Lytechinus pictus: one gene and its partners. The protein of the gene in region 3 purifies or fractionates together with the protein of the main gene of each other region. This does not show direct contact. Links are inferred from orthologs where the notes say so. Each region holds a gene or a part of one and is shown on either strand. Other genes may lie near its edges. The genes, in order: ras-related protein Rab-11B-like, ras-related protein ORAB-1 and Golgi phosphoprotein 3-like.

Evidence for each region.
Region 1: the proteins of Golgi phosphoprotein 3-like (region 3) and ras-related protein Rab-11B-like purify together in Drosophila melanogaster (affinity purification with western blotting; 3 studies listed by BioGRID, with this or other methods). This does not show direct contact. The link is inferred for Lytechinus pictus from reciprocal best matches to the Drosophila melanogaster genes sau and Rab11.
Region 2: the proteins of Golgi phosphoprotein 3-like (region 3) and ras-related protein ORAB-1 purify together in Drosophila melanogaster (affinity purification with western blotting; 3 studies listed by BioGRID, with this or other methods). This does not show direct contact. The link is inferred for Lytechinus pictus from reciprocal best matches to the Drosophila melanogaster genes sau and Rab1.

What each region holds. Positions count from the first base shown.
Region 1 is NC_087247.1:18,305,769-18,312,803, reverse strand, and holds the start of ras-related protein Rab-11B-like, read left to right. Parts: upstream 1-3,956; 5' UTR 3,957-4,281; coding exon 4,282-4,321; intron 4,322-7,035.
Region 2 is NC_087251.1:18,746,122-18,754,208, reverse strand, and holds the start of ras-related protein ORAB-1, read left to right. Parts: upstream 1-5,055; 5' UTR 5,056-5,348; coding exon 5,349-5,371; intron 5,372-8,087.
Region 3 is NC_087249.1:5,503,497-5,510,893, reverse strand, and holds the start of Golgi phosphoprotein 3-like, read right to left. Parts: upstream 3,067-7,397; 5' UTR 2,913-3,066; coding exon 2,715-2,912; intron 1-2,714. UniProt on the Drosophila melanogaster protein: Phosphatidylinositol-4-phosphate-binding protein that links Golgi membranes to the cytoskeleton and may participate in the tensile force required for vesicle budding from the Golgi.

The DNA of each region.
Region 1 (7,035 bases), on a different chromosome or scaffold from region 3:
TTAACTTGGCCCAATTTTGCATTCTAACAAAATGCAAAATTTCCTCGCGCGGTCGATCCGCTCTCGCGTTCAATAATATAGTTCTTACAAGAATTATATAGGTTATAACAAATCCCTATACGTTTAGCTTATTGCAAAGGATATTATCCGCTGCATCATGAGAGTATGGTTATAATAAGTCCATTTATGAAAACCAATGGCTTTCAAATATGGCTATAACTGATCATAAACAAATCAAAACCGATCAAAACATCATTTTTAGTGAATGTATATGTGTGTGGGGGCGGGAGGGGTGTCATATCCTGGAATCTTTGTGGAAGCGGGAGATAAAAACATTTTGTACAAGTTAAGCGCCAATTTGAGATACTGATTGCATTGACAAACTCAGTAAAACACAGACTCTGTATATCGATCGTACAGTGCCTCTGAGGCAAGGCAGGACATAAATATTTCCCCCACGCTTTACAATGTCATCCGTTTATAGAAGACTCTAATTCACATCTATTAACGTAATTAACGATCTGATAAATATTAATTTTGCTCAAAATTTTGAATGTTGCATCAGCTACCATTATAGTCTTAAATAGTATTCTAAATATTTCCTTTCTGTCATTTTTTTTCCTTTTCATTTGCATAATTGTGCTACTCCACATTTTTTAGAAGTTTATGTTATGGTTATGTGATGGTCTATACTCATTTCATAAAGCACCCTCATTGCTGATAATCATGATCCCATTTTTTGTTCATTTTCGGTGTCACCTTTAACCACTGAGCAAATGAGTTTTCATTGAACAAAATATGAACTGTTTAATCCTTATTTGCTCTCTATTTCTTTCTCCCTTTTTTCTTAAGTTTACTTTATTGATAATCTACCCTCAGTTTATCATCCTCGTGTATTTTTTATGCATGATCATTTTAAACTACTGAAGCAACTTTTTAAAGGCTTGCTCACTACCCCCCCTCTCTCTCTCTCTCTGCATTTCTCCAACAATTACTCACCCATTGAAAGACGAAATAGTCATCATTCTGTCTATCGTGATAGGCCTTTAATTGAAAGATGTACACATTTACAGTCGGCCTATACATTTCCCGTGACGTGCCTACACATCACTTGAAAGAGGTTTTTGGACACCATTCGATCTGTAGTCCAACTACTGATATTTGCTCGCTCGCATAATGATATCACAACAAATCCGTTACATCCATCGACACTGAATGCTGTTAACTGAAAGATGTACCGATCGACGGTTACCCCTGTAGTTGTATAGGCCATTGCAAGGTCATGGCCCTAGCCGGGGGTGCTGGTTCACTCACCCCCAAGATTTTCTTTCGGGGGGGGGGGGTGCTGCGTGCATTAATTTCCTAAGGCAGCACCTCCAGGAATTCTGAAAGGAGTGACAAAAATTGAGAAATGAAATGACCTTATACCCATCCCCCTCGCCCATGGGCGGAAATCCAAGGGGGACAGGGGGACGCGTCAGCCCGACTTAAAATAGTAGGGGACACAATATCAAATGTCCCCCTACTATTTTTGGTCTTTTGTGATGAAAAGAAATACCTCATTCAAAATCGAAATAAAACATGTATTTTGGACGAGATGACGTACGTCTTTAGAGGTGATAACCTTTTTTCTTTTTTTTTTGCTTGTCAAATTTATTTTGGTCGACCTTTCATTTGGGGTGATAACCTTTTTTTTTTTTTTTTTTTTTTTTTTGCTTGTCAAATTTTCCAGCCCCTTGTCCCCCTACCTTTTGGGAGAGATTTCCGCCCCTGCCCTCGTCCTTTTTTTTATTGTCGAAATTCTTTGGACCAAAATGACCTTTATTTTGTAGTGATGCTTGACAAAAAATGCTTGTATAATTTTCATCAGAACCTTCAGTAAAACAAAATCGTTTACAGGGCCCTGCCCTTGGTGTGGGGGTGACACCAACATTTTAGCTGCTGTCGATCATCCCCCTACTCGGACAGGATTTACGCCAGTGTCCTACATACAGGGGCGGATCCAGCCTTCGCCAATAGGGGTGGGGGCCCGGAATTTTTTCAGCCATATTTTCCCCGATCGGCCGCTCGAAGATGATTTTTGCCGGGATTTTTGGTTTCTTTGAAGGGGTAGTCATAATAGTCACTTCTTAGCTTTATTCTAATGAATAAACATAAATATATAATACCATAATCCTTATTTATACAATGTTAGCGCAAAGCGCGAGCTAACATTTTTATTGGAAATATTATGTTTTTTTTTCTAAAATCTTGAACATTCTGGGCAATGTTTGTTATCCTGAAAAAGATGTGTATGCAAATGAAAAATTACTACGAACGTGAAGCGCGAGCAGAATCGAACTGATGGAAAAGATACTGTTAAAGACTGCTTGCAGTTAGCCATGAAGACGCTGTACATATTTTAAAAATCAAATAATGCGAGCGCGAAGCGCGAGCTGAAATTTTTTGACAATTTTACCTAAGGAATGGAAATTCTAAGCACTTTTTGTAACTTAAACAGAATAGGTATATAACTAAACAATAATGATGCGAGCGCGAAGCGCGGGCGGAAAAATTCGAGATTTAAACCTACTGAACGAGACACTCTATTAAGGTTTTGTAAATCATGACAAGGATGAGTAAGTGAGGATCTTCCTTACATTAATAATGCAAGCGCAGAGCGCGAGCAGAAATTTTTTATATACGTTTTGAACTGATCGAAAATGTACCTGTTAAGGACTGCTTGCACTTAGCCATGAAAACGTTTCATATTTCAACAATCAAATAATGCGAGCGCGAATTAAGCGCGAGCTGAAAATTTTTGACTTTTCTTCATAAAGAATGTAAAATTTTAATCAATTTTTGTAATCGTGAACAGGATTATAACTAAACAATTGATGCGAGCGCGAAGCACGAGCGGATAAAATCGAGATTTAGACCTAAAAACGGGACACTCTATTCATGTTTTGTAAATCATGAAAAAAATGAGTAATAGGGGGTCTACCTACATTAATAATGCGAGCACAAAGCGTGAGCGGAAAATTTTTGATATTGTGATCTGAAACTGGATAATGATTCAGAGAACAAGTTGACTATCTGAATAAACATGCGCGCGCGTGTTTCATATTTAGACCTAGAATCTAGGCATTCTTAATACATCTTTTATTATGAAAATCAAAGCGAGCGCGAAGCGCGAGTTTAAACTGTTCGATTTCCGATCTAAAAAAACAGTTATAACTTCAGCTCTATTTTTCAAGAACTTTGTAGGAAAATTTTGAGGTGGATATGGATCGCACTTAATAAAGAGCTAATATTTTTAATTATTATTACTTTCAGTTTTAACATAGGACCGGGACATCCTTAGGACATGTATATGAAAATGATGACTGTCTTCCTATTTCTCTTGCTAAGTGCGAGATGAAACAAAATGGACAATTTAATCATTAAATTAATATCTTATTCATTAATGCATGAGGGCGCAAAATCTGATGATAGAAAATGTTAATATTCAGAACATAAAACTGACATTTTACAAATCACTTTTTTTAATCTCCATATTGAACACAATATGAAAATCACCTAAAAAAAAAAGTAAAAGGCAATGCGAGCGCGAGCGAAAATTTTATACAGTGACATGAAAGATTCTTTTTATTTTCCAAGTCTTCCCCTCATCTTATTTTATTAACTCATCTTCCTCCTCTCTTTTCCCTCCTTTCCTCCTTTCCCCCCTTTTTTTTTCTTTCCTTTTTTTCTTTTTTTGCTCCGCCAATAGGGGGCCCGGGCCCCTCGGCCCCCCCCCCTGGATCCGCCTATGTACATAGACCTTATAATGGTATGGAATATACATATCGTATCACAATATTTCTGTACTCTATTAATACACGTAGTTTTGCAATGATTGCGAACAAAAATTATAAGTTGCCCCAATAATTTAAATGTTTCTAGACCTATTCGTAAATTACGTGTGTGCATATATTGCAATTATTTCGGATCGCGAATGTGACGTCACACTACTGTAGGCGTTAGAAGCCGCCATTGTACCGAATTCGAAGACTAATGTCTATCTCAAATAACTTGGAGAAATCGTCCAAATCTAACGACATCGGTGAAGTTTACCCTCTAATATTGTTTTGATATTCTAATTGATAACCAATTCGAAACGATTGGATTTTTATTGATCAGATTATTGCTCATCATTTTATGTTTATTTGGGAATCCCTACCGGTGACATATCCGGAAGTCACTTCTCAGGGGCGTAACCGAACAGGTTGAAAGAATTTACGAAGCGATACAATTTACAAGATGGGCACGAAAGATGATGAGTACGATTATTTATTTAAAGGTGAGTTTTTAGTAAAATGGTATGTGTCTGTAAAAAGCGTAACTTTGTAGCTTTCAAAGAGTCTAGCGTACGTATTATTACAGTAAATCATTGTGTCTAATGAAGACCGGTTTTGTACGCTGTTGCACCAGTGATAAGCCGACATAAACCGTGTACGATACCCAACGTAACGTACATGTACCGCCTACCGGTACTGTCCGGACGTACAGATGTCAATTGGGCAATGCTGTTGTGCTGATTTAGAAAATTTGTCGTGAACGAACGATGATCAGCCGCTAGACTAGACAGCTGGCAGCCGTCTGTTTTGAGGAGTTTTTCAACATTTTTTATTTTTTTAATTTCTCCTCGTACACAGACGGCTCGCTATCGTGCAACGTGCAGCCACCATGATTAGGGGGAGAACAATTATGAATTAATGCAAAATCCCCCCGACGGGGCACATTTTTGTCTTTATTTCATAAAAATATTGAAAAAGAGTTGAACCAAAATAGAGTAAGAGATTATTCCGTTTTAGTCTGAAAAGCACCAAAACGGGGAAAAATAAACTTAAAAGGGGAAAAACAGTGACTTCGGCTGTCGCAACTTCACTTCCCCATTTTATCCTAACTTAAGTATAGTCACGTATTGTATTACCGGACACTATTGTGATTCCGGACGCGCATATAAATGCGTTCGAAAACAATTTCGTACCGTAAGACTTCCGCAATTCATTTTCACAGATCAATACATAGAACAAGATTGCAAAAACAAGGCGAAAAAATCAAATTTCTACCTTATTTATCTCTAAAATGACAGAAAATGCTTAAAATATCATATAACATAGTTTTGCATTAACAATTGAATGAATTGATATATTTTCTAACAGAAATATGGGCCTGATTTTCCGAATTTCAATCTCGTCGGCTCCTTCGATCGAATGATGAGGTGAGGTGTATTGTGGGTGATCGTCGACCGCTAGTTCTCAAGGTACCGTGCGTGAGGTTTACCGTGAGTAGACCCGTCGACGATCGGCTGCGCATCGATAGAACTTGATGAGCGTCACGATACGAACGAGCACTGGAAAGTGCCATGAAACATGCAGCTAACCAAAAAATAAAAAATAAATTAAGTTATCAAACACGAATTTATTACCAACATCTGTTCAGATTCGATATAAAAAAAGCAAACAAAAAGTTAGAATTTATTCATGATGTGATATAAGAAGAAAAAAATCACAGAAATTTATTCTTACATCATTGTAATCAAGGATATCTTTACCCGTCCGGCGCGCGTCCGGAATCATGATGTAATTTGTCGCGCACGAAAATAATTGTTTTTCGTGGAGGGGTATGCGGCAAGTGCGATGTAAAGAAAATGGTTGGTAAATATAAAATAATTTTATCATATTAATAATTTTCATAATATTTGGAATAGCAAGTGCGAATTTTTCTTGATTGTATTTCCTCTAGTTGTCATTTTTAAAGCACTGAAATAAAGGTGTCCGGCAATAGGATACACTGCCATACATAAACATGGCCATTGAGTCCCCTGTACAGATCGTGCTATAACTTTGGACTCTGTATTTGGTGAGTGGAGCCACCGGCCAACATAGTTCAGCAGAACAACCAACATAACAGAGACCGAAGCTTTTGGTCTACCGCTAGACTAGATTAAGAACAGTCACGTCATTGAAGTGACAATTGCAACATGTATGTGATTGAAATATCTGATCTGAGTAGCCAGGTCCCAGCCCCAGGAGGAACTTTGTCGTAACTTGGACAGTTGAGAGTAAAAATCATTCACTACCGGTATAAACGTCCGCGGTTAGAATGTAGATCTAACACTAAACAGTTAGTGTATGATTTTTACTCTCTTCTCTAACTAAACTTCTAAAGTCCAAGTATAATCAACAAAGTTCCTCCTGGCTAATGTTAGTAATAGAATGATGGGGAGACCTCAAGCTGTATGCACTTTGGTTTACTAACAATAAGCCCTACATGTATGCCAATTTTAACAATTTTTTTTCTCACAATTTGTAAATATCCTAGGCCTAACCCAGAAGAAAATATCACAAAACTCACTAACTTGGGTATAATGTTAGATCTAGGCCTAATAGTGATATGAAAATCCCAACGTATTTTCTGAACTCTTCTTTATTTCGCTGCCCTAAGTCATAGCTTTAAGTTTCGGACCCCTTCTAACGTTACATAGTATGTAACGTTAGAAGGGGTCCGAAATGTAACGTTAGAAGGGGTCCGAAACTTAAAGCTACGCTACACCAATCCCCAAATTCAAAGAACTCCTTGAAAGAATCCAAATAAATTAAGTACACATCCAACTTCATGCATTGGTGCCAAAAATGTATGGGTTAGCCACTACAGGGCTCCATAACACAAAGGTTTGCAATGGATTGCAAATATAAAAGAACCGCACTGATTGGTCCCTGGTCGGTATAACCAAATGCGCGTGTAACATTGATATTGATTGGTCAGTTTATTTAGCGATTGATCGCTAATCTTTGTTACGGAGCCCAGGGCTCCGTAACGCAGGTTTGCGACGGATTGCAAATATGAAAGAACTGCACTGATTAGTCCCTGGTCAGCATTTTAAACCAAATGCACGTGTAACATTGATATTGATTGGTCAGTTCATTTAGCGATTGATCGCTAATCTTTGTGTTACGGAGCCTAGGTGTGTTTGTACATCAAACCATCCAGACCCGCCCTTTTTATGCA
Region 2 (8,087 bases), on a different chromosome or scaffold from region 3:
AAAATAATATAATGATTTTTTTTGTAATTCAATAATAACAAGGATGGTATCATGGGTGTTAGTAGGGGCGGGCAAATAAAACCTATTTTTGTGAAATTCAATTTAAAACGATGAATTATGTTGCCATCTTGGCTGGGAGTGCAAACTAGTAATATATCTCTATGCCACAAATCTACTAAGTAGGCCTACTTTTTTTTTAAGAATACGTCTGATATTGGTTCTGAGCAATTTTTCGCATGTAAATCCTTTACATCTATACACATAAGGCTTCCAATATGTCTAACTGTGTGTTTTCGTGGTCAATGAGCACTAAACTATGAATCAGATAAGTTGGGTCATTTAAAACAACATTTTTGGGTCATTTTTGGTAAAAAAAAAAAAATTGTCCCCCAAAACACAATTTTTTGTACATAACACCTTAATCACTCATGATTTGTAATATATGTTCATGGCCACTGAGTCCAACAATAGATAAAAACAGACATGTGGTCTTTATTTGTATACTATATTTTCAGTGAAAATCGCATTTTCTGATTTTCACCTTTTTTGTAATGACTGGAAATAGACTGCAAATATCCATGCAACTACGGCCTGTTATTTGCTAACCATGCTTTCCTAGCGATTTGGTAGACAGTTACAAATATATCATTTGTATTATCTGGATTAAAAGAAATATTTAATAGTGTAGTTTGTGTCAAATATATTTCTTACTATTTCTTTTGTTTTTTATTGTTTGAATTATAGAATATTTAAATCTTTACATATTTGAAAAATAAGGACAATTTTTAAGGGCAGTTAACAAACAAAAAACACTAATTAACAGATGGAACTTTGTAAAACTTGTTTTTGTTTGTACGTTTATTGACAATTTAATGGGGTGATGGCAGGGAATTGAAACACCCTGCCCTCGATCGGGCGGTTTCGCTGCCCCTGTTTTGTTCTTGATGATGATGTTGTTGTTGTTGTTGATTTTGCTGTTCCTGGTCTTCTTTTGCAAGTAGGCCTATAGGATTATACCCAATGAAAAGCTCCATGAGGGTAATTATGTGTCCAACCAACATTGGGCATGTCTTTTTGGGCATCAAGTTTTATTTATCCAGTGTGATGAAAATTTTGCCCATTCTAAAGTAATTGCTGCTTATTTTTTAACCACACTGCATGGACACTACTTTATCATTCATTCTTTTTGCCGACGACTCAAATATATTTTTTTCTCATAAGGACCCCAAACATTTACTTGACACACTCAATAAAGAATTAAAACTAGTCTCAGAGTGGATCAAAGCCAACAAATTATCGCTTAATCTCACTAAAACAAATTACATGCTCTTCAGCAATATCATTGATGAACATTATTTTTGATAATATTAATATTCAAAGAGTATTAAGTACGACATTTCTAGGAGTAACTATCGACGACAGACTGTCATGGAAAGAACATATAGATAACACATGCAAAATAATTTCACGGAATATTGGAATTATAAATAAAGTTAAATTCTATTTTCCGACTCGTATATTATTAAACTTATACTCTACGCTGATACTCCCGCATTTGAACTTTTGTATTATTGCATGGGGGAGTTGTGCTGATTTTCATTTGAATAGACTTTTACTACTTCAGAAAAAAGCTTTGCGCGTTATTTGCCATTCTCATTATCGGGCACATACGAATGTTCTTTTTAAAACTCATGGAATTCTTAAGATACATGATCTTTACCATTATAATCTTGGATCTTTTATGTTCAACCTTAGTAAAGATGAACTACCAGACGTATTTTATTCTATGTTCACACGAAATATCAATGTACATCACTACCCTACAAGATCTGCTGGACTTTTCCATTTACCTAGAACGAGGACATTATTAACAAACAAACTGTTTATATCTTCTGGTATCAAACTTTGGAATTCACTACCGCAAACTTTACGAAATAAGCCAACTATTCATAGCTTCAATAGAGCACTTAAAAAAAATCTAACCAATAACTATAACACTCACATCATTCATCCTACTTAGGATATCTTGTGGATCTTCTGTTCTTCCGGATTCCCCCCTCCCCCACCCTGCCTTTATTTCGCTTCTTTTCCCGTCTCCTTTCTTTCGCTCTACCTGTTTTTTTTTTTTTTTTTTTTTTCTTTCCTTCTTCTTTCTTTCTTTTACTCGCTTTTGTCCTTTGTTTTGTTGTTGTTGTTGTCTTTTTTTTCAATTTGTCTGTTCTTGTAATATTTCGTCTGTCTTGTTTTGGTATAACTTTTTGTCATGTCTTGATCTTGTACCGTTCTGTCACGTCCTGGTTTTGTTACGTTTTGTCTTGTGTGTCCTTTTCACTTTTTCTTCATATCTTGTAAGATAATCCAGCCTTGTTTATTTTTTACTTAGGAGAATATGTAAAAAAAAAATACATTTAACAAGGATTTACATATAATTTTTACATATAAGTTTTACAAGAAAGATATGATGACTTGTTTATTGTATCTATTTTGAACTTCAACAAAAACGATATGATTAGTATATTATATATATATATTGTTTTTTGCATTAAGTCTTATTTATTGAAGGAAACCTTCAATAACAAGCTTTGCTTTCCAGAAGGTTCCTATTTCATTTCAAAATGTTATATTGTATTTTGCTTTACTTTGTAACTTTGTTGAAATTTTGGAATGAATAAATTCGTTGTCAATCAATCAATCAATCAATCAATTATGCTTCCTGCATTGGGTAAAATACTGCCCCAAATTGGTTGGACACATAATTACCCTCGTGCTGGTGAGCTGGTTAAAATGTTACCCAATATTTTTTTACAGTACAAAGAACGAGGGAGTCTATATACTTACTGATTGCCGTGTATGAATTATAAAATTTCAATTTCAATCAGACCCGAAGGGCCTGTCGATTATGTCAGGAATGACCACTGCCACGGTGGAACAAGTTACGTTTATCTGACGAGTTGCAACAGAGGAAATCCCCTTTCAGAAAAGTCAACGGGGCTTAGTCATTGTTGCTTAGAATAAAATTATATTTCTTATGTTTGCCGATTTTTTTTTTCGATTCTCGATATACCAAAGTATAGCATCGCTTTGTGTAGAAGGGTGGCCTCATTTTTGTTATCAAGGGGGAGGGGGGCTCCTATATAGGGCACACATAATGCCCAGCCCATCATGAGTAGACATTATAGACAGTCTGTTGGACTAATTCTCGTCAATGCTTACTACTTATGTTTAATAAAAATATGCTGCCACCTTAATTCCACAGTTTTCTACTATCATTGAACATTCATTCTTATCCTATACCCGTTATTTAATCAGCCCTAAATTGCCGCTTGCGCATGAGATTCACAAGAAACCATGGTCCTCATTTATGGAACTCTCTACCATGCAGAGTTTATCGAAAGACTATATCGTCTCTTTCTCATTCAAGTCAAAGGTTAAATCCAGTGTAACCGTCATTTTTTTCAATTTTCATCCACATTCTGAAATTGGTTTGTTGGTAAATATATTGAGCCTGTATACTTGTATATGCGCAATCGGCTTAACTGTAAAAAAAAAAAATGGGTTAATAACCCGAATCTTGTGCTCCAAATTAATATCGTTTACCCATCTATTCGCTAGGTAGGAATATTCCTGTACTGTTCATGCAATTTCAGGTTAAGCAAACTCCATTTATATTTGGCCAACTAAGCTGTCACACCAGGGTGCAAATCTTTGGAGAGTTTTATGAAAGAACTTGTGGGACTTGTTTAATCAGATCGTTTATCCCACAGTTACCATAGTAACAGCTTCTCAGGCCAACCAACGTCAACTATAAACTGACAACTTGTCGAAGCCTGTGGAACAAAAACAAGAACCCAAAAATGAGAGGATGGCCAGGTTATGTAGATTACATCATTAAAAGTTATTTTGTCGGAAAACGAATGTTAAAAATATAAAAATGCAGGTTTCGGAGAAATAGGCCGGGTTATTATTTTATAAATATATATATACGATAGCTGCATGTGGCCCCATAGGGGCACCCCCGGCCCACCCCTAGGCCTATTTGTGGTCCCCACATCGATCGGTTTCATCAATATCATGCTATCGATCTTTCTCTAAATTGTTCCTACATGTGATTAAAAAGTAAATCATGCGTTTTTTAAAGGACAAGTCCAGCCCAATAAAAAATTGGTTTGAATAAAAAGTAAAAAATCCAACAAGCACAACACTGAAAATTTCATCAAAATCGGATGTAAAATAAGAAAGTTATGACATTTTAAAGTTTCGCTTAATTTCGCACAACAGTTAAAATATGCACATTCTGGTTGGTATGCAAATGAGGAGCCTGATGATGTCATCCACTCACTATTTCTTTTGTATTTTATTATATGAAATATGAAATATCCTAATTTTCTCTTCATTGTCAAGTGAAACGGTGATTAATTTCTCCCTGAACATGTGGAATTGGCATCGTTTAATACTATATGATTCAGTCAAGTCGGTCCCTATGGTCAAATCTGTAAAAAATGAAATATTGTATAATTCAAACAATAAAAAACAAAAGAAATAGTGAGTGATGGACATCATCGACTGACTCATTTGCATGTCACAGAGTTGTGCATATCACTGTTTTGTGAAAAATAAGCGAAATTTTAAACTGCCATAACTTTCTTATTTTACAACCGATTTTGATGAAATTTTCAGTGTTATGCTAGTTTGATTTTTCTCTATTTATTCAAATCAATATTTTACTGGGGTGGACTTGACCTTTAAATAGAGGCCTAAAACAATTACAAGTTAAGGCGGTCAACTATTAAGACGATTTTGAATTGCTCGTGGACTGAGTGAATTATTGCAAATATTAGAGATTTGGCAGGACAATGTTGCTTGGAAACTTTGCATAGATCTAGATCTCTAATTAGTAGAAGGTTGATGAGTTCTGAAAAATGAATTTCGTAATTCAAAATATACTAGTTTTACACATCAGACCAAGTTTTTCTTATGTTATCAGCTGATTGCCACGTCGTATTCAAATGACGTCACCTCTATCCAATGAATACACCCCCTATTTCATGTAGTAATGCACAGTGGAGTAACTTGTACCGGTAATATACGTATAGTTGTATACAAAGCTCGCAGATGATACGAGAGAGCTAGAGATCATGCCAGCAGCCAGCGCAGTTTTGAAAGCGCACGCACACATACGTACGGATTATCTGTGTACAAATTGAATGTAAAAATAGCGTAATGTACAGGCAGCCATATTGAAACTTCCTCGATTGTAAAAGCCGGTGTAATCACAATTATTCACTCATTTCTATTCATCTTAAGTGTAATTAAAACACATTTTCTAACATACGTGGATCTACCCTGTCATGTCCACAATGAATCCGGAGTAGTAAGTATTGATACTAAGAACAGAATAACATTAATTTTGTTGGAAAAATGATGAGTTGCGTGTTGACTTGTGAATGTGAATGTGAGTGAGTGAATGCAAGTCTGTCGATGTCCATTGATTGATTTTTTTTAAAGGAATAGGATTTGTCATGTTCTGCATCTGTCTGCTGTGCACTAAGTATGCGTGCATCGGTACGACGCCTCTAAAATAGAGCATGACATTTCTTACTTCTAAAATCTAATGTTCTTAATCTTATGTTACATTAGTCTAGGCCGACTGAATTTTATTGCGAGTTATGTCTAACCATAGTCTGTAGTGTAAGAATGTAGTGTGAGTGTAGATGGCAAGTTCAAGTCTGCGCAGTCCCCCTTGACCTTGTCTGCGCACACACGTATCTGCGCGATTCTAGTAAGAGAAGATACGCAACAAACACAAACTTAACACATAGACAGATATTCATTAAAAAATCCGACTCAAGATGGTGGAAAAATAAGGAATTTTGGGCATTTCTTGTGACTGCCTCAAAATGCAGCCTTTCTCATAAAAAATACCCGAATCGTGTGCAAACTGAATGTTTTTTTTCAATCTGAAAATGACTGCCCGAGGTTTTTTCAAAGAAAATCCTATATTTCTTTCAAATTTGTATGAGATATATGGTACACTTTATAAGGAACATTATTAACTGAAAGATTTTTTGAAATAAAAAGAATTCCATGTTTAATCTTAACTCAAATCGTTAGGTGCGCAGACTTCGGGACCTAGCCTTGAGGACTCCATGATGATATTTTTTAAATATTTTGACAAACTTCATCATGGAGCCTTGACACTATTCCCATAGACGGAGAAGCGAGACCTAGACACCTGGATGGATTTCCCTAGGAAATCCATAGTTAGAGGGTGATATCGGTTTGTACGGGTGAATTTTATTGATATTTAAACCTTCAAACGCCAAATGCGTATGAAGGTTCCAAAAATTGGTTAATAAAAAAGTGAAAATTTTTAGGTTTCTTACCAGACCGATCTCGTGTAGATCCCTCAATCCATTTGTCAACAAAGCAAATACAATAGGTCTGACCCTTGAACCGCTTTGTTATGACGTACATTCGATTGGCGATGTTACAAAATGCCGTTTTGAAGAACAATTTATAGATACAAATTATTATTTAACAAATACTAAAATTTAATACATGATTATGAATAATTATAATAATAATTATTAATAATCACGTATTAAATTGCCTTTTCGTCCACTCATTTCATCTAATAACCAGTTGGTTCAATAGCCATTTAGGCCATACCATTTGGGCTAATTGGACTACATGTAAGTGTTAATTTGGCGAAATGAAGGAAAATAAATTGGGTTTTAGACCAACTGATTATGAGACTAAATGGCTGGAGACGAACTGGTGATTAGACAAAGTGATGATTGGACCAATTGGTTATTGAACCAAATGATTGATAGACAAAATGTTTATGGATGGAATGGCATCATACTAAATGAAGTTAGACTGTATGATGAGTGGACGAGTTAGCAGTAGACGAATAGGCAATTTACCATATAAAGAAAGTTAAAGGCAAAAACACTGTTGATCATCTTTAGCAATGCAATCCAGGATGTGGACTGTTTGCAATCATAAATAACATAAAATAAATTAATTTAAACCAGCAAAAGTAAATATAAACCTACATTATGATTTTTAGGTTGAAAACACAATTAGCATTGACTTTGTACACAATTACATTTTTGAGCAATTTTGGGTCTGACATGCACTTACTAAATGTTGGGTAATTTTGAAACTGCGTACCCGGTAAGATGCACAAGGCTTGAAAGTAAAAAGTCACTGAGCGGCGAAGTAAAAAAGTTATTGTGGTGGCGTAATGACGAAATTCGTCAAGAGAGGGGAGGGGGCCCCTCCCCACTTAAATAAGGGTTAAATTTTAAGTACAAAGACAACAGTTATACATCTTTTTATTGTTAAACATGAATTCCTTGTCCAAAATAACATAGAAACCAATGCAAAAATCATAAGCCGAGATATACAATTAAAAAAATGGGTGGGGGTCAATGACCTTTTTGCCCCAAATCATTTCTTTGGCAGCACCCCTCAATGTTTGACCGAGTGATGTAGACCGATTTTTCTGAAAAGGGTGTCAAGGTAGCACAAGCTGCATTTATGGAGCTGGTCCTCTCCGTGATTTGAAACATTGAGAAAAATTTCACCGTGTACTTGTATAGCCCACCACTACTATAATGCTACCTGATGCTTGTGCATATATTTCAAATTACTAAAAATGTAAACTAGCGATCTCTACTGCCTGCATTTAAACTATGGCATGCGATTGACACCTTAGATCCTAGATAGCACTTGGGACATTTATCTTCGTGATCTTGTAATTGTGGGTATGCACCTATTTTTTTGCAGTTTGTTTGTGTCACTTTTAGTGGTGCATTCTCGAACCAAAACAAAACATCTGAGATATGCTCAGATTTGAGCAGAAATCATCTACAATCCCAGAGCTTCCAGGGAGCCTGGAATTTGAGTATAAAAAAACGTGTGTCCTTTCTCAGGCACATACCCACCACACATTATCCAGTGTGCCTCGCCCCCTCCCCCTTGATGTGTTTTATTCCATTAAAATTGAACTGAATTATAGATTTTGACAATAAAAACAAGTAACTGGACTACATGTACATGTTTACATGGATTGGTGGATT
Region 3 (7,397 bases):
TATCGCGATCGGGAACGGCTGTATTTCAGCTTTGATCTCGATGTCGTTGTTCGAATCCTCAGACATCACTTCGCGGATTGCTTGGATTCGCCGTGCACAGTAATGATGATGTGGACTGAAGTTAGCAACCAAATCATACGAACATGTGGCGAACAAACTGCCAGCATGCTGCAGGCGAATCTTTTGGTTGCTAACTTCCCGATCGCGATATTTGGAAAAGAGGTGGGTATGGTATATTATTTACCTCAAAATGTGACTGAGAGTAGGGTGTCTGGAGAAAAAATTATTTTTCTTATTTCAAGAAAATATCACATTTTCTTTGTGAATTTGAAGAGAAATTACCTTCAGACTGACAGAAATGTAACATTTTTGAAAAAAATCCAATTATTGGCTGCAAAAAAGAAGAATGAAATTAGGTAAATTTTCAGCATTTCTCTGCCATAGACTGTGTAGTTAAGATATGGACACACACAATTCCAAATTTTTAGCTTCCGAGAGCTGTTATAAATTTATCATTAATGCCAAAAACTTGTCCATAAAGAGTCCAATAGGATTTTTTATGCTCTTTCTGATGGTATGATTTTTATAAAGATTTGGAAACCAGATCACAATGAAAAATTGCGACAAAGTGAAAAAAATTGTGCAAAACAGACATTTAGTTTTCCCATAGAAAACGCATGGGGAAATGGCAATCTCAACACACACACAAATAAGGGTTTGCAATTTATCTCTAATTCTAAATCCTTATTTAAAATGATCATATAAACTTGTCCTTACTGTCAAAAGAACCCCCTGAATTTTCTCTTTCCATACATGCCAAACACAAGTTAATAATTAATTCAGATCACATTTTTGCTACTCTAACGTCCATGCGCAGTGAGTCGCCATGTGCAATTTTTTTACTGTTGCGCCACTCACCTGTCACTGCCTGACTACCATGGTTCTAGAAATCTTTTGCAATGTTGAAAAGTGTCTTGTGGCATTGAAATGCTGCAACGTTTGGTTAAAAGATCCAGCAAAACACAAAGGAGTTTAGCGCAGTCAAAGTCAGACTTGCAAATTTGGATCCGTACGGTGAGAATTTAAGCTGCCATTTTTCTCGGGCGACGATTTGAGACGCCCACACTAAGTAATCGATGTTTCCAAAACTGCCCGCTCAAGTTACCAATATTTGGTATCAAAATAAAGAGTATAAAAAAATGTTCACAATCATTTCATTTTGAAGGTGGGGGTGACAATTGTTATCAAAATAAGAGGGGGTGGCGACTCAACGTATATCTCAACCCACGGAGAGGTTTCAACAACGCAGCTGAGTCAATGCACTTTTGTGTACGATCGGTGCGTGTGTGTGCGCATGCGCGATATGCCTGTGTAGTAAATGTATTGGATTTTTCGAATCGGCGACTCAAAATATACCCATCATTGTGTCGCCTTTCCGGAAGTGTGTAATTCATGATGTTCTTACTAAAAACTGTAGCAATTTCAGGAGAAAAGTTTATCATATATTTGAAAGGATTTGTGGATACTTTCATCTCATAATACAAAGATTTGAGTCGATTGCGACTCACTGCGCATGGACGTTAGCAGCCTGAACTTCCCGAAAAAATGTGCCATATTTTCCCCTAAATCAGCCTGTTTTATGCTGACACTTTTCAGTGGGTGATTTCAAGTACGGTGTTGAAATCTGGTGTTGGTGTTGTGACAACACCAACACCAGCCACAACACCGTACTTGAAATCAGGCTGGTGTTGGGATTGACCTCGGAAAATATGACGTATTTCCGGCAGTTCGTGTTGAATGCTGGTGTTGAATATCGTCTGCTGAACCCAGCACTGCGGCTGATGTTGACGATCTACGTGCAATTTCCCCATTCACCAACACCAACCCCCAGGGATTGGGAAAATCATGATTTCAAGTTCGGTGTTGGTGTTGGTGTTGGCAATCTCAAGCTCGTGAACAGGCGGCGAACGCGATGAGACATCCCCGTAAAATTAGCTTTTACAGTTAAGATGAGCACAAATCATTTTTGAGCTGTATATATTTTGATGAAGAATAATGTTCACTCTTTCGAATTCTTGAATTAATTAAAACATTGGTATTCTGTACGATGAGAATTTAATGCATTTCTCACCGATTTCATTTTCGTCGTCGAGACTTCTCGCGTGAAGTTGAGATGATTTAGCAGCGCAGCGCAGAGGCGTGACGTCATGTGCTATCGATAACGCAATCGGTATCATTCCTCTGAACCCAGCTCGGTGTTGGAGCTCGGTTCAGCGGCCTTTTTACGCTCTCAACACCAACACAGAACACCAAACTTGAAATCACCCAGTGTGGCTTCAGACACCCTATAGTATACGGTACCCAGTTGTTGTGTGTCCGGACAGGTTGTGTGTCCGGACGATCCATTTTAGAAAGTCATTTGGAAATATTTACAAGCGAAGTTTCATCAATTTTTAGTACAAAATGTAAGGAAATATTATAGAGAACAAAATGGAAGATGATTACAACTATTGAATTCATATTTTTAGTGTAATCCAAAGACAAAACAGAAGGCTTAGTTCAAAAATAAAGTGTCCGGACACCCGACCCCCCATCCTACTGAGACTGAGAGTGAGAGACTTGTCATGACATTTGGGAACAAGTATTGGTGATGAGGTATGTTGGTAATCGGCCGGTGCGAAACTGCATTAGCGCCTGGGTTTTCCATACTTTACCTCTCTGTCTTTCAGACCCAATAATAAAACTTCTTCCATCAATGTTAATCTCGTTTCTTTTGATTCGCAGTCATCTTCTTCTTCACGAAACGGATCTTCGTCCGCTTCATTACTTGATTTTCCCCCTTCTGCTCCTTTAGATCCTCCACCTGTGTGTCTTTGAATTAAAGTACTACCTCTTTGAGTCAAGGTACTCATGATAGAATGTCAATTATTACAGCAGGTTCTGCCTATCTTTGAAGAAAAGTTATAGATTCCGCTTGTTATGATGTGTGAAATGGGTCGGCTTTTCCAAAATGGCTTCGTCTGCGAGAAGTGACGTCAAATTGCTGATCGAAATTCAACGCAAGGTGGCGTTCCATCTTCAATTGTCTATGCGCGTATAAACGTGTCTGGTATTAACTATTATTATGGGGGCTAAAATATGCGATAAAGATTACCCCCCCCCCATCTATCTTCACTTAATTGCACTGTTTTGTTTTTTGTTTATTTCAACTCAACAAACAAATACTGATCAAAAAGATTAAAGATGAAGAAGACAGATCTAAAAACTCTTGAAACAAGATAGCTGACACCCCAAGATTTTCATTCTAAAATTATTATAGGCCTATAATAATTATGTTCACATTTTAGAAAATTTGACTCGCCCCTATAACGAAGGAATGTGGTGAATAAAATAATCAATATTTTTCGGCGTGCTTCAACCGCAAAATTCTTCATTATGATTTGGCGATAACTTGATATTTCCACCCCCTCCCATCCGAGATGTGGACCGACACTTCTGAACTCTTAATGGTTTAATTACATGACTAACTTTAGCCTCAGACCGAGTCATCAACAATATAAACATTATATCCTAAAAAGAATGGCAATATTCAGAGCGCTTTTGACAATAATAGGCAAATTCAGAGTTAAAAGGACAAGTCCACCCCCAAAAAACACTTTCATTTGAAGAAAAAGAGGAAATTCAACCATTATAACTATTACACCAAAAATTTCATCAAAATCGGATGTCATTCAAAAATAGTTATATGCACATCTCGGTCGGTATGCAAATGAGGTAACTGATGATATCACTCACTCACTCACTATCTTTTGTTATATATTATAAACGAAATATTCTAATTTTCTCCTCATTTTCCTGTGAAATAACGTTTTATTTCTCTCTAAACATATTGTTTACCATTTTTATGGTTCAGTCAAGCGGCAGTTGATCCAATTGCCAAATCTGTAAAATTTGAAATATTGCAACATTCAAACAATAAAAGAAAGAAAAGAAATAGTGAGTGAGGGACATCATCGATTCTCTCATTTGCATGTGACTAAATAGTGCATATTGACCATTTGTGAAAAATAAGCGAAACTTTGAAATATTATAACTTATTTTACATCCTATTTAAAGTCATTTTCAGCATTATGCTTGTCTGACTTTTCTCTGTTGGTCCAAATCAACATTTTTGTGAGGTGGATTTGACCTTATTTTACGCGTTATTATTGTTATATTCGTGGTGGTTGGAAGGGGGGGGGGGCAAAAAACCCCACAGGTTAAGCAAATTTATCCACAGTGTGCTGCACTCGACCCAGGTGAGATGAATGGGTACCCGGCAGGATCAATTCCATGCATGCACTGAGCGCCAGTGATGGTAGCTCGAGCTAAAGCCGGGTTAATAATAGCAAGGGCTGTATCCTCAGAAAAAAAGCGCTATATAGATCTAAATGTTATTATTATTGTTGTTTATTTATTTTTATTATTATTTGAGTAATTTGTTCAACTGCAGGGCGCCTCAGGAAAGCAGTTTTGCATCACTGAACAGGCCTACCCTGCAGTATAAAATAAAGAAAACCAATAAATAAATAATAATTATTGTTACTATTAAGAGAGCATTAATGTATTCTGCATTTCGATGCGCTTTTTCGAGGGAAGGTGTAGCGACCTAGCGAGAAAATTTCGAATTTTCGAGCACTTGGTGAGTGACATGGATGAAAAGCTGCATTATTCTATTATCATAATACAAATAAATTATAGGGCCAACACTATATTTGGAGTCGAAAATTGTTTGGGGGCTTGAGTGATTTTTTTTTTTTTTTTGGGGGGGGGGGGCTTCAGTCCCCACAAAGCCCCTTCCTAGAACCGCGACTGGCCCCGGTTCCACTATAGAACGGGGGTATTGATCAACTTCACTGGTATTCCTTTTTGTGTGCCTTTATTTCTTTGCCTTTTAAATTAATTTCTTCCTTTTCTTTAATTATTTGCAACCCCTTTCCCCTGAAAGTGGCGCCCAGGGCACGTGGCCCCCTGCCCCCTCCCCCGCTACTATGCCACTGCTAATACCCTTATCAAATCGAATTCAATTGGCTTAATGCTGTTATAAAAAATATTGTTTTCGAAATAAATTATATGAACGCCCCCAAATTGGGAAATGTCCCGGGGGGCCACTTACATTGACGAGTGGATACCATGCGCGACCAAAAAAAAAAAACATAAAAAGGATGTCTTTTTCAAGATAGGGCATGTTACGTACGTAACGTAATAAGGGTGTCAAAAACACTAAAATAGTGAAAAAAGGGTATCTATTTTCGTTAGGAAAGCTACGTATTTAGGCCTTTAGGGTCAAATTTGCGAGGGGGTAAAAAATTAAGACTAAAATGTTTTATAAGGGATGTACTTTTTTTGCCCCAAGAGTCAACACTACGTGTTAAGAGTACGATTTGCGCGAGATGTACTGTGGGAGGTGGGCTGTACTAAACCCATGCAATGATGTAGGTAAAGGTAACCGACGACAGACGGCCGTGACATAACAATAAAAATATCGCTTTAAAAATCAGGGAATATTTGGCAAGAGTATCCTTTTGTTTCAAATACTTGTTAAGGGTAGGGTTTCACACGCCAATACTTGTTAAGGGGTGCATTTTTAGAATATGGAAAATACATGTTTAGGGTGCTTTTCGAGACCCCATGGTGGCGCAAATCCGGGGGGAGGGGGATGGGGGGATATATCCCCCAACTCTTTGGAGAGGGGGGGGGATGGCGTGTACAAATATCCCCCCACTTTTTAAGAAAGAAAATATATTTTAATTAATCTGTTAGTAAAATCTTTGAATATCTGTCATAAACAACCATCATATTTTAAAATTTATATTTGAAAATGCGATTGAAAACCAAAAAAGTGGTTATTTTTGGCTTGCTCGCTTTACTCGCTCATATTTTAGAATTTATTTTAGAAAATGCGATTAAAAACTAGAAAAATTGTTATTTTTTGGCTCACTCGCTTCGCTCGCTCTCGCAAAATAAATATTAAAATGTGTGTAAGGGGGTATGTGGGGGGTCAGTGAGAGTGTGCATGTGCTTATACCTAAGCGTGAGATCGACGGAAAAAAAATCGTCAAAAAGTCAATCATCCCCCCCACTCCTCAGAGTGGATTTACGCCGGTGGACTATCCACTCGTCAATGGAAGTGGCCCCCCGGGGAAAATGTTTAGGGAATTGGAAATGATTCCTCTTACCGCACGAAGCGTGGATGTCAAAACGTTTTATTAAAAAAAAATGAGAACAGAAAAGGGCATTCATTGAGTGGTATTTGATAACAAAAATTTACATTGAAAAGACAGCAAAACGGGATAGATCGATGGTATAATATGCAGAGAGAAGATATTCCTTCCCGCGAATACCGTTGAAGATCAGAAATGTCAAAATTTCTCTTAAACCTTAACCTGCTCTATATTAGTAATTCAAAAAAGCTCAAAATAGGAAAGAGATGATGCACGGAGAGGAATCTTCCCTTTCAAATACCCGCGAAGCACGGAAACCTCTGTGGTTTGTTTTGAAACATACATGGCCTATAAAATTATGTGTATTCGCTCATTGTTCAGCGCTTCCTTTGTATGATAAAGAAATTTGAGTGAAATCAGTTTCATTAATGGCGCAAAAGAAGACATGAGATGGATGTGCCGCGATATGAATAAATTTTCATCGTATATACCTTGGTATATCATGGCCCTGGGAAGTGGGGGTGCTGGAGCACCCCCAAAAATTATTTGGGCGGGGGTCAGTGGCGTACCTAGGATTTTCCACAGGGGGGGCAAAACCGTCCGCCAAAAAATTTGACAAGCAAAAAAAAAAAAAAAAAAAAAGGTCTTCGATCACAAATAAAGGATTTCGTTCCAGAAAAAATTGACAAGCAAAAAAAAAAAAAAAAAAAAAAAAAAAAAAAAGGTCTTCAAGCTCGTCAGGTGGGGCAAAGATACGTTTTTGCATGGGTTGTGACTCGTCAGGGGGGGCAGAGTGCCCCCCCTGCCCCCCCCCCGTAAGTACGCTAGTGGCGGGGGTGCTGCGTATATAGGCCTACTATTCTCCATATAGGCAGCACCCCCAGGTACTTAGGAAAATATGAAGAAAAAAAGAAAAGAAAAAAGTAACCAAATATCACCTTTGTTTTTTTGTGTGAAATCCCCCCCCCCTTTTTTTTGGCTTTTCAAATTTCTTGGGACCAATAATTAGTGAAAACAAACAAAGCCATACAAAATAATCCTCGCACACGCCGGCCAGCGCAGCACTTATCTAGTCTGCTGGGCAAACCCTTCACTCGGGTTAAGGGTCTGAATGTGCAGCCTACTCATGCCTTGTGTACTGAAGGCTCTCTCGTGCCAACCGCGTAGCCAGGATTTCATTTTGGAGGGGGCGGT